2 linked regions of the Caenorhabditis elegans genome follow. The protein of the gene in region 1 purifies or fractionates together with the protein of each later gene. This does not show direct contact. Each region holds a gene or a part of one and is shown on either strand. Other genes may lie near its edges. The genes, in order: R09E10.1 and mam-3.

What was found.
Region 2: the proteins of R09E10.1 (region 1) and mam-3 fractionate together in Caenorhabditis elegans (co-fractionation; one large-scale study listed by BioGRID). This does not show direct contact.

Annotation. Positions count from the first base shown.
Region 1 is NC_003282.8:10,318,663-10,324,504, forward strand, and holds R09E10.1 (LEDGF domain-containing protein), read right to left. Parts: upstream 4,089-5,842; 5' UTR 2,392-4,088; coding exon 2,096-2,391; intron 1,690-2,095; coding exon 1,611-1,689; intron 1,515-1,610; coding exon 1,443-1,514; intron 1,394-1,442; coding exon 1,172-1,393; intron 1,089-1,171; coding exon 917-1,088; intron 865-916; coding exon 821-864; 3' UTR 677-820; downstream 1-676.
Region 2 is NC_003282.8:13,442,234-13,447,363, forward strand, and holds the start of mam-3 (MAM domain-containing protein), read right to left. Parts: upstream 3,143-5,130; 5' UTR 3,034-3,142; coding exon 2,892-3,033; intron 2,173-2,891; coding exon 2,045-2,172; intron 1,614-2,044; exon of another isoform or gene 1,512-1,613; intron 1,269-1,511; exon of another isoform or gene 1,151-1,268; intron 1,083-1,150; coding exon 916-1,082; intron 528-915; coding exon 265-527; intron 26-264; coding exon 1-25. Other genes in the region: uso-1 (Uso1_p115_head domain-containing protein), read right to left, coding at 3,799-3,942, 4,492-4,635, 5,059-5,130.

The sequences.
Region 1 (5,842 bases):
GGGCGAAGGGTATGAGCTTTGTCCTGAGGGGCTGGGATCAGCCCCCTTTTAGCACTGTAGCTATTTTCCGTCGCAACCCATCGCAGCCCTTTGCAGCCCAGCTTCATCCCAGTTCAGTTTTTCGCAGCCCTTTAGCAACATCAACCCAATTTATATTCAGTTTTATGAAAATTGACACGGGATGTTATTAATACTGTGCTACTACGGGGCTGTGAGGTTGCTGCCTAAGCAGCCCTATCCAATATTAATTTAAACTAATTCTTGGCCAAAATGTTGAATTCTACAGGTAACGTATATTTACTGAACTTCAAAGAGGCTTCAATTATATCCAGGCACTTTTAGGCTTTCATTCCTACATCGTGTTTTCAGTATTTTATTTACCATTCGTACTTGCCGAATGCCAACATGCCTGCCTTCATGCATGTCGCCGATTTTCTGTATTTTTTTCGTGATCCTACTGCACGCCTGCCTGCCTATGTGCCTACCGCCTATTTCATTACTTTTAATATGATGTCACATTTTGGTCTTCCAGATATCATATAGTTTGTTCTATCCAATGTTCCTTTGAAAATTGAAAAATCAGAAATTCAATGATATCGTTAAAAAAATCGAATATATATTCTTTTTTTCTTCTTTCCTGTATTTACTTATGTTTTTTCCTTCTGAATACACACAAATTTCTCTCCGTCTCTCACTTTATTATCATAAATCATCATAAAAAATTATTGGTGACGTCACAGTTTACATTTTTGGAGGTGCTGTGAAGAACTGTTGAAAGTCGAAGTTCTCGGCGTGATATGAAGACTTTGGAGGTTGTCGTTCAGCGATTTGATGCCAAGTAAAAGCGGATGTACGATGGAAAAACTGAAATGATAATTTGTGTTTAAATATAATATTTAAAATCAAACAAACTAACGCTCAACTCGCCGAAAGCACTTTGAATTTCTCCGAGATGCATATATTTTGGCATTCACATACTTTTCCTTGATGAACTTCGAAATCGCTTGAGCACTTTCATCGCGAACACTTTGGGCTTCGGGCTTCTGCTGTTTGACAATTTTCAGCAGGTCTCTCTTCATATCCACATACTGAAAGGTGAAACTTTATGGTTACATTTATGAAAAACTTCTGAAGAAACTAGAGCTTTGAATATTGATTCCTGATAACAAACCTTCGGATATTGACCGTAAAGAAACTTCTTGACTCTTTTGAGATGTTGGGGCCCTTGAGTCTGCAAATTTCTCTCAGCTGCTGCCAGAACGACAGTATTTTTTGCAATTGCATCGTTCATTGCTGGTTGCAACTTTGTGTCCGTTTTCCAATAGTTTTGAGTCAACTGTACTTCCTTGTTCAGCTTCTCCGCTGCCGTTTGTCCTTTGTCGCTTACAATGTTCTAAAATACGTGTGGTTGAGCGAAATAATTCAAGTAGAATGTATATTACTTCCATGTCAACCGTCCCGTTTCCACGTCTCATCATACTTACGAGTGTTGTGATGATTTGCTCAAGGGCAATCTGAAATTTAGCAAGGTTTTATGAGTTTCTTTGGAATAATTTTGTTGTAAAAACCAAAAGTTAGAAAATAGAGTGAAAGTAAATTTGCATTCAAACCTTGTATTCTTCCATCAAACGAGCACTCTTTGTAAGTTCGGCGTCAAGTTGCAGAGCAGTAATCTCGGGTTCGTCTTTCCTGAAATTTTTTGTATTAAAGTAAATTCTGACCCCGCCTTGCTTGTCCAAAACTAATACAGTGAGATCAAAACTAAAAACGTGATTTTTTAATTCGTAAAATATTTCATTTTTAAAATAAAACATTCAATTTACTGTTATTTTGTAATTTTGGCAACGCGTGGACTCTCATGTATGGAATCCTTTTTTTTTCAATCCATACTATGGATTGAAAAATCAGTGATCCAGTTGTTTTAATGAACTAGAATGATAGAGTATTCAAAAAATTGCAAGGATACCCAATTTTCTACCACGTCATAAACTTGTGCCAGTGGAATTCATTTCATAATATTTATATAATTTAGCACATGCCAGAAAGACGGCTTCCTTTCCAACAAACATCTAAAAGTGTCGAGTAAAATACATACGGAAGGGAGAAGTTTTTCAGCTTTCCTTCGCGAATACTTTTCTTTGATCGAGACGATCGTTCTTCTACTTTAACAACAGATGGCTTCATGGTTTTCACATTTCCTCGAGAACTCTTCACATCTCTTCTTGCAGTCTTATTATTCTTTTCCTTTCTTTCAGCTTTCGATAAATCTGATGGTTTCGGCGGAGATTTGGTTTCCTTCTCAAGACACTTTGCCTTTTGTTTTGGCCCCGCCGGCACCACTTCGTTTTCTGAATCTTTCTTCTCCGGTGAGTGCTCATCAGGACTTGTCATTTGTGTTCTAGAAAACATGACCATTTTCCTTTAAAAACCCTGTGTTTAGCTTACCTGACTCCAGGAAATCTGAATATCGATTTCTAATTTGTTAGCAATAAATTGAATTTCGTCTATGAACGTAAAAGAGGATATATATCATTATCCGGAACAACACGTTCATAAATTATTCAAGAATTATTTAATGCAAATAGTAATTCAGAAATGTAAGAAAACAAATCAAATTACAACTTTCTTCATGTAGTCAAGTGCCAGGTGGCCCACTTTGCTGTAAACACCCAAAGGTGTTACTTTTGAAAATCATTGCTTTATTCTTCTGTCTTTTTCTTGGAAAGATTTTTGATAATAGACAATAAATGTAAAATATAACGGCCTCCAATTTTTTAAAGCGATTTCTGTCTTGTTTGAAAACTACGGTGATGTACCTATTAGTATTGCATCCACATTGCTTTTAGTTCCACACATTGTTATTTGTATTTCTGTCTACGTAAAAAGCTCTATTTGGACTAGAAAAATACAAAAAAAAATTATCGAGATTGTATATTTGATAATTGTAGTTTTAGTGTTAAAATGTGGTCTATGACTTTCAAAACGACAACAAAGTACTTGAATATAACTCTTGAAAAGTATAAGAACCGAAATAGAAGATTCGAATCAAAGAAATCAGTCAATGGCGGATGATTACTCTCAAATGCCAAAGATTAATTTGTAGTAAGTTCAATTTATGAAACTGAAATTTGATATTCTCTGAGTTCATTATTCCAACCAAACATTCATTTTATAAAAAAAGAATTACTAAAAAAGTTCAAGTTCTTCGATTGGCGGCGATCTCCTTCTCTAAACGAGAAAGAAACTTCATTCCCTTTTTCGACATGAACTGAAAAGTATAACTGTTTTTTCTCAGTAAAATCTGTTTTTTTCTCAGTAAAAAATAGACCCGAAGGCGCGAACGAAGGCGCGAGGCAGGCGAACAAGCTTGACTTTTTTCAATTGAAATCGTGTTTAAAGGAAGATAGAACAGTTTTAATTTTAATTTCAAATTTTGAAAACTCTGATAATATACATGAAACAGTAAAATTTTAATTCGAAGTTTTTTTTGAAATTCGTTTTTCTGTCGTTTTGCCTAAAAGTAGGTTTATAGTTACTTAAAAAAAAACATTTCAATAAAATGGGCTTAACTGGCAACAACAAAGAATTCTCTCAAAAATGGCTCCAAGCCTGTGTGCTCTCCAGTTTCAATATCAATCTTCATAATTACCACTTCAGTCTTGCACTCACTCTGCCACAGGCAAAGCGGGTACGGTCCGTTTACGGATCTTGGACCGGGAACGGACCATTAACGGGCGAACTACGGATATGAAAAGCGGGACGGACCAATTACGGGCAAACTACGGGGAATGTAAAAAATGGTCATTAAGAGGAAAAAATGGATTTTAAGAAAACGAATTTTTTTTAATACCTATGATACCAGTTGGCTAATTCAAGCATTTTTACGTCGTTAAATGCATTATTTAGAGAAAAAACCACATTTACCGACCGAGATGGCTCTTGAGCCGTAGTTGGGCCGTTTCCGGTCCGTAGACGGTCCGTCGCCGGCCCGTAGACGGACCGTAAATGAACCGTCCCGGGCACCAAATTTTTGTTTTTGAAAATTTCAGGTTCTAGCATGGAAAAAGTGCTCAAATTAGCCAAAGGAGAGTGTAGGCACTTCAAAAACTCCATTTTCATGAAAAAAAATTCCTCTGGGCAACCATTTTGTCTATCATCCGTCCAACTGGTCCGTACACGGCCCGTAATCGCATGCGATCTAACTGAGGCTATTAAGCATGACATTGTGTGTAAAAGAGGTTATATTAATGTAATCCTATAAACATATCAATAAAAAAGATGAAATGCCACAATTGGGTAGATACTGTGTATACGCAACGTTCACTCTCTCTGCTGGTCTTCTTCAGCTGAGCAACAGGAGCATTTTTTGAAATATCATGAAATATTTTACTAACAATACATTCTGGAATCATATCGTTTCTGTTCCGTGTGTATTTTAAGAAATTAAGGTATCATTCAAGTAGAACGCATATACCTTATTTCGTCTATTAGTATTGCAACCCGGTCCAATCGAAAATTAGTCTTGCATGCAAGACTAATAGAGGAAATATGTAAGTACCATTTCTGTATTACAAGTAGATGGAGCACGTATAGGTAGATGTTGAGAAATATGCGAAATAAGTTCTGAACTACACGAAACTGTCAATTGTTATCGTTCGCTTTCATATAAGTCCAACGGCAAGATGGAGAATCAGAAACTACTGAAAATACAATCGAAAAAGTTGGTGTAAGACGTGAAAACCAGAAGAAAATGCGCGAGCGCGAGCTGATTGCTATTTATGCGAAGTCTATTGATTTTCCTCGCGTGCGCGAACGGCCAAACGGTAAGGTGATGGGCCAGTAATCAATCGACAGGCAGTGGACAAGTTCAACCCCGGCTGAGGCAGATAGAATTGCTACAACGAAGGATCACCGGAAGACGGTCTGGAGCAAGACCGGAGCTCGGTGGAGCATTGGGAAAGAAAAAGGGGCAGCTGGAGGGTGAAAAAATTTTCCCATTTTTTAGTCTCCTTACGGTTCAATTACGGTCCGTTGACGGACCGGGAATCGAACCGTGAACTGTTCTTAAATTTGAGCCGTTCCCGGTCCGTGAACGGACCGTTTTGGGCACTTTCCGCTTTGCCTGTGCTGCATAATGTGAGCAATTGTTAGGTTATCCGGAATCATATGTAAAATTTTTTCATAAACCTTCAATTTTTTCTGGACATAGATTACGTGTTCAGTGCCTGCTGACAAAGAAAAATACACAGTAGTTTTAAAGTAAAATATGACTTGTTTCATGTTCTTCATAAAACGGTGTAGATTTTGTCATTGTACTTACATAAATTTCTTTTAATTCCTCAATTTTGTACCTGAACTGTTGATTTTCCAATTTCTAAATCCTATTCTCAAAATCCACAATTGAAAATAACTATCAAAATAATGCTTTGTGGAAATAATGGATCCGTTTGAACTCACAATTAGCCCGTTTTTATTTAAATTTTGAAAATTCTTATAATATACATGAAACAGTAAAATTTTGCACCGATAATTTTTTTAATTTGTTATTTTTCTGTCGTTTTCATTTAAAAGTAGGTATGTAGTAACTTTACATTGTATTCCAGCCAATTTATTTTAAGATTTTTTTGTTGCATTTGTCATCATATCGATCGAAATGACAAATAATACATTCATTTTTTTTCGGATCCAGACGAAACACATACTGAATTGACAAAACAACGAGAGGTTGTATAAGTTGAGAGCAAAAAAAAAATAGAAAACGAGTGATCTCGAGACGGGAGGGAAGGTGGGGGCGTTCCAATAAAATACAAATTGTGGGCCTTGTGCAAATGGAAATATCATA
Region 2 (5,130 bases), 3.1 Mb from region 1:
AGAGATGAGAATGATGATGGGAATGCTGGAATAATTAATTTTAGGTAAAATGGGAGTGATTGAGATATTTTGTTAGATTATGAAGAGTGAGGCATTGGATTTTTCTGGATGTTCAGTGAAAGTTTAAAACTTCTCTAACAAATCTAGTTTTATTTTGAAAAATTTACAGAACAAAATCTTTTAAAAAAGGATTAAAAATATCGTTTTTTTTGCGCGCCAATTTGATTTTGACTGCTTCATATCTCGAATAACTTTAAAACTTACGTGATTGCTGGCAAATCTTTCCGTGATATCTGATATGATCAATGATTGCCAAACTTCCAACAGTATTATCTTTGAGATCAAATGCTCGAATTCCAATTCTGAACGGTTCCTTAATCGGCGGAATCTCGACACGACATTCCTCATTGGCGGCTCCCAAGAAATCACACTTCATTTTTGGTCTGAGCAAGACTTGAAGATGACGTCTACGATTCATTGCTCGAAGGATGATAACTTCCACTTGAGCATTGTTGTATAGCCAGAAGCTAGAAGGATATAACTGGGATTATAATTTTATTTTGGAATCTATGTTAGTTAGAGCACAGTATTTTGCCGATCGCATACTTTGTGAGCTTTTACTCAGGCAACTCAAATCTAATATGAAAATATTAAATAGCAATATTTTTGTAGTAAAAACGAGAAATTGTGCGTCATATAAAGATTACTAAAAATTTCGATTTTTTTTTTTTATATCAGCATTTTTCAAACTATTGAATCATAGAAGAACGCTTAGTTCGTTTTTTACATATTAAAAAAAATGCAAAGACAGTAGAGATCTAAGCTTTCAAAGAAGAGCAAACACATTTTATTTCAAAAAAAATTTAGGCCCTCCAACTTTGTGCTTAAAATTCTTAAAATTATCTTTGACAATACCTGAAAGTCAAGTTGGCAAATCCTTTTTGACAAGCAATTGGAGCACTGCTCAACACTGCTCCATTCGGATTTTTCGTCGTATTTCCAGCAATTATAAAATGTTCGCCTTTTGGAATTACAGGATTTCCGGGCTGGATTTGAACTGGGAAAGTTTTCTCGTCATTTTTCTGAAATTGTTTAATTTTTTAAAAAAGTTTTGAAAAATTGTAAGTATAGAATTTATAGATTTGTCTAACAAAATCGTCAAAAAATTTGGAACGCTTCACGAATTTGCGTGTCATCCTTGCGCAGGGGCCATGCTAATCTTCTCTGTATTGTTCCAATTTTAGTATATGTTCTCGGAAGAACAAACATTTAGATTTACATTTCAATTATATAGGGACCATTAACAATGCAGCTGGCATATTTGGAGTTATGTAAGACACTATACCAAATGTAGATGTAGATCAATAATTTGTGCACCTATTCTATAGCGATACCAATATCGATTTGCATCTCCACTTCCCTAGCATAGTCATAGTGTCTTACATAACTCCAAATATGTCAGCTGCTGTGTAAATGGTCCCTATATAATTGAAATGTAAATCTAACTGTTCGTTCTTCCGAGAACATATACTAAAATTGGAACAATACAGAGAAGATTAGCATGGCCCCTGCGCAAGGATGACACGCAAATTCGTGAAGCGTTCCAAATTTTTTCTATAATTTTTGGTGAACTTTCCAATGGTTCTAAAGTTGAACTGTATAATTGAATTGTCTGAATAAATTCTCGAAATGTTGCCACTTTCAATCGAGTTTTTGAAATGTTTTTTTTTTGAAACTTTCAGTTAAAACTAGTTCATAAAACCAATTAGTTGCCAAAATTAGTTGGTATCTTTTACATATTATTCGTCTCAAAACTGAAAGCTAAATATTGTATATTATACCCTGGCCTACATATAGCGTAGGATATGGAATTTCACATACATTTTTATTTCTAATTGAACAATTATACCACATTCAAAGTTTGTATTCAGCGAAATCTATAACTGAGATCGTGACAAGACCCACTCAGAAAAGGTTTTATATTCCAAAAAAAGAATAGAATGGCACAAGACATTTGAAGGAAAGTTTTTCATGAATAACAAACCTTAAAATACCACCAATCACTGGTATCCAAAAGCTTATCAGTCGGCGCATTTCTCCAAAGACATTCGGTCTCAAAGTCACAGTTGAGTTCATCAGGTGACTCAATATACGTGGCAAATCCAACGGCCTCTGAAATCCACGTGATTGTGGTTTTTTTTTGCAGATCCTCGTGGTTTGATAATTTTAGCTGTTTAAAAACAAAAAAACACTTCACATTAAAATTGCTTATTTATCACTAATTTTTAAGAACGAATCTAAAACCAGATTTTTTATGAAAGTAAAAATCGGCTGATTTATTGTTGTTACATACTTTTGTTACAGAAATTAGCGAAATATTAGCGAAATCTGGATAAAATACCGTAATTTTACTACTACTGTACTACTGTAGATTTTGAAGTACTTCATTAAAAGCTCACGGAATTATTCAGACGGGCCTCGGCGCGCAAAAAAGTTTATGGTAGTTTTATTTGTTCATTGGATGTAGTATTGTATTTTTTTTCAATGAAATCACATGGTTTTCAGCTGTAATAAATCGTTGACAATCAGTTTTCAAAGTTTAAATAAAAATTAAACTACCGCGAACTTTTAATTCCGTGCGCCTTTAATAAGGAACTACAAAATCAAGTAAATTTCCGATAAAGCTTAAATTTTTGGAAAAAAAAATCTCGTCAAAATTCAGAGTAAATCCAAAAAAAACTGGAAAATGTTGAAAAAAACATTTTTAAAAAATCGGGATGTGGCCATAAATTATTGAAAAAAAATTGAATTTTTCCAAAAAATCGAAAATTTAGACTTTTTTCGTTCGGAGCAAAAAACAGTAAATTCCTTCAAAAAACCAAAAAACCAACCTTCCACAGGAATCTCTCCATTATTATCTGGCCTAATACCAAGATACAAGTCTAAATATCGAAGCTCTTTTTGAAATTGAGCATGACATGCTTCTAGAGATGGTAGAAAAATGAGCAAAAGTGCAAATTTCTTCCAGATCATTATTTTCGAGAGGCAAAAAGGGTGTGTACAGGCGAAGAACAATGGCAGATGCGCGGGCCAGGAGAAGCAGGCGAGAGGAACGAACCGGCTTCCGAATCACTATTGATATGGAGAATAGACGGGTTCGTTATATCATTTGATCATTCACCGAATCCCCATTCAACCTGAGAGAGAGAATGATGGATTTCGGAATCAATCAATAATTTATTTGGACCATATTTACTATTAAGTTTTACATAAATAAAATTGAAAGGAAAAAAAAAACATAATTTCGGTATCACAGAAGACAGTGTGGTTTGAACGAAATGGAAAGAGTAGGTAGGGATACAAAAAAAACAGGAAGAAAATATTTTGCCAGCAAAATCACGGCGAATACGATATCGTAGATTTACAAGATCTCTGAGATGTCTTCTTAAAGGCGCACGGTTTTATGGGTCTCGGCGAGCCCAAAAAAATTTTTATGGTATTTAATTTTGTTTATTTTCTTTGCATTTATCACATAAGTTAAAAATTGTTTTAAATCAGTTTGAGAAAAAAAAACAAGAAAGCCGAAACATATCTGAAAAAAACCTGTGCGCCTTTAAGAAGACACTTAAAAAATCCTGCGAAAGTACGGTGTATGCGTTATAAATTAAATATTATACAGGAAACCTATTCGATTTAAAAAAAGAAAAGTTGATTGGAAGTATTACATGTTCTATGACAAGATTGACCCCCCAAAGAAAACAAAAAAGAAACCCGATTTTTAGTAATCCCACAGCCTTATTACTCGTCCTCATCATCTGTCACTGGCTGTTTTAGGTTTCGAAGAAGGCGTCGGTAGGCTGACATTTTATTGTGTTGATCAGCGAGAAGCATCAGAAGTTCTTCTTGTTCTTGTTTCAGTTTTGAAAACTCTTCGGAGTCAGCCTGAAAATTTGAAATGTTTGAATTATTTTCACTGAGATAAAGCTCAAAAGCTACTCATCGAAACGTTTTTATTTTAGTTTTTTTCCAGAGAAAATTGAAAAAAAAATGAAAAAGTGGATGAAAAATCTGTAGCAAAAAATAATTTCTTCAGAAAAAATCGAACCAAAATTTAAAAGTAGTTTTTTGAAAAACGAAATAATTAATTTTTTCATAGAAAAATTATATTTTAAGTGTTTGATATTTTTAGAATTTTTTATTATTTTTTCAGCTTTTTTCAAAAAAAAAATTGAAATTTTATCAAGTTTTGCTCAAATTAACCTCAAATATATAACTATTTTTATATATATATATATTTTTTCCTTCTTAAAAAAAAGAAATCTGTTAAAAAATCAAGGTTTCGAAAAACTGAAATTTTACACATTTTTTCGATTTTTTAATGAAAAAATCGATAATTTTGGTAAGATTTTCCATCTTTTCCAATAAAATTATACTTTTTCAGTGTTTTTTCTAGAAATTCCTGAAATTTCGAAAATTCCACTCGAATTCTACCTGTGGTTCGTGCTCCACAACTATTCCATTCGAAATTGGCTTCAAATTCAATTGCTCAATTTTATAATTGGCTTCAGCGAGAGCAGCTTCCGTTTTCGCGAGTCTATCTTTAAGATTTGCATTCTCTGATGTATAGTGGAGCATCTGAAATATGTAAATTTTATTTTTATGGTTATTTTATTTTTTTTTGGTTATTTTTTTTATTTTAGACCAAACGGAAGCCGAAAAAAAATTTTTCGAATAAATTTAAGCATCGAATTGTTTTTTGGTTTTTTTTGATTTTCGCAGATTTAAATGTTTAGTTTTTTGATCCAATTGTGTCATTTTTCGATTTTTCGATTTTCCGGAAAATCGAAAAAAATTTCCGAAAATTAACCACAAAATATGATTTTACAAAATCAAATTTTTGTTTTATTGATGAGAAAAAAAATAAATATTTTCATCAAAAAAAGAAGAACCCTGACCAAAATTTTAAGCTAATTTTTGAAAAATCGACAAATTTTTTTTTCGAAAAAACGAAAATTTTCGATTTTTCGATTTTCTGATAAAATCTCCTGTCTACCATACCGTTTGTGATTGCTGTTCGAATGCCTGATATCCAAATCCGAGTTGCTGCTCCAACTCGTTGACTTGTTGCTG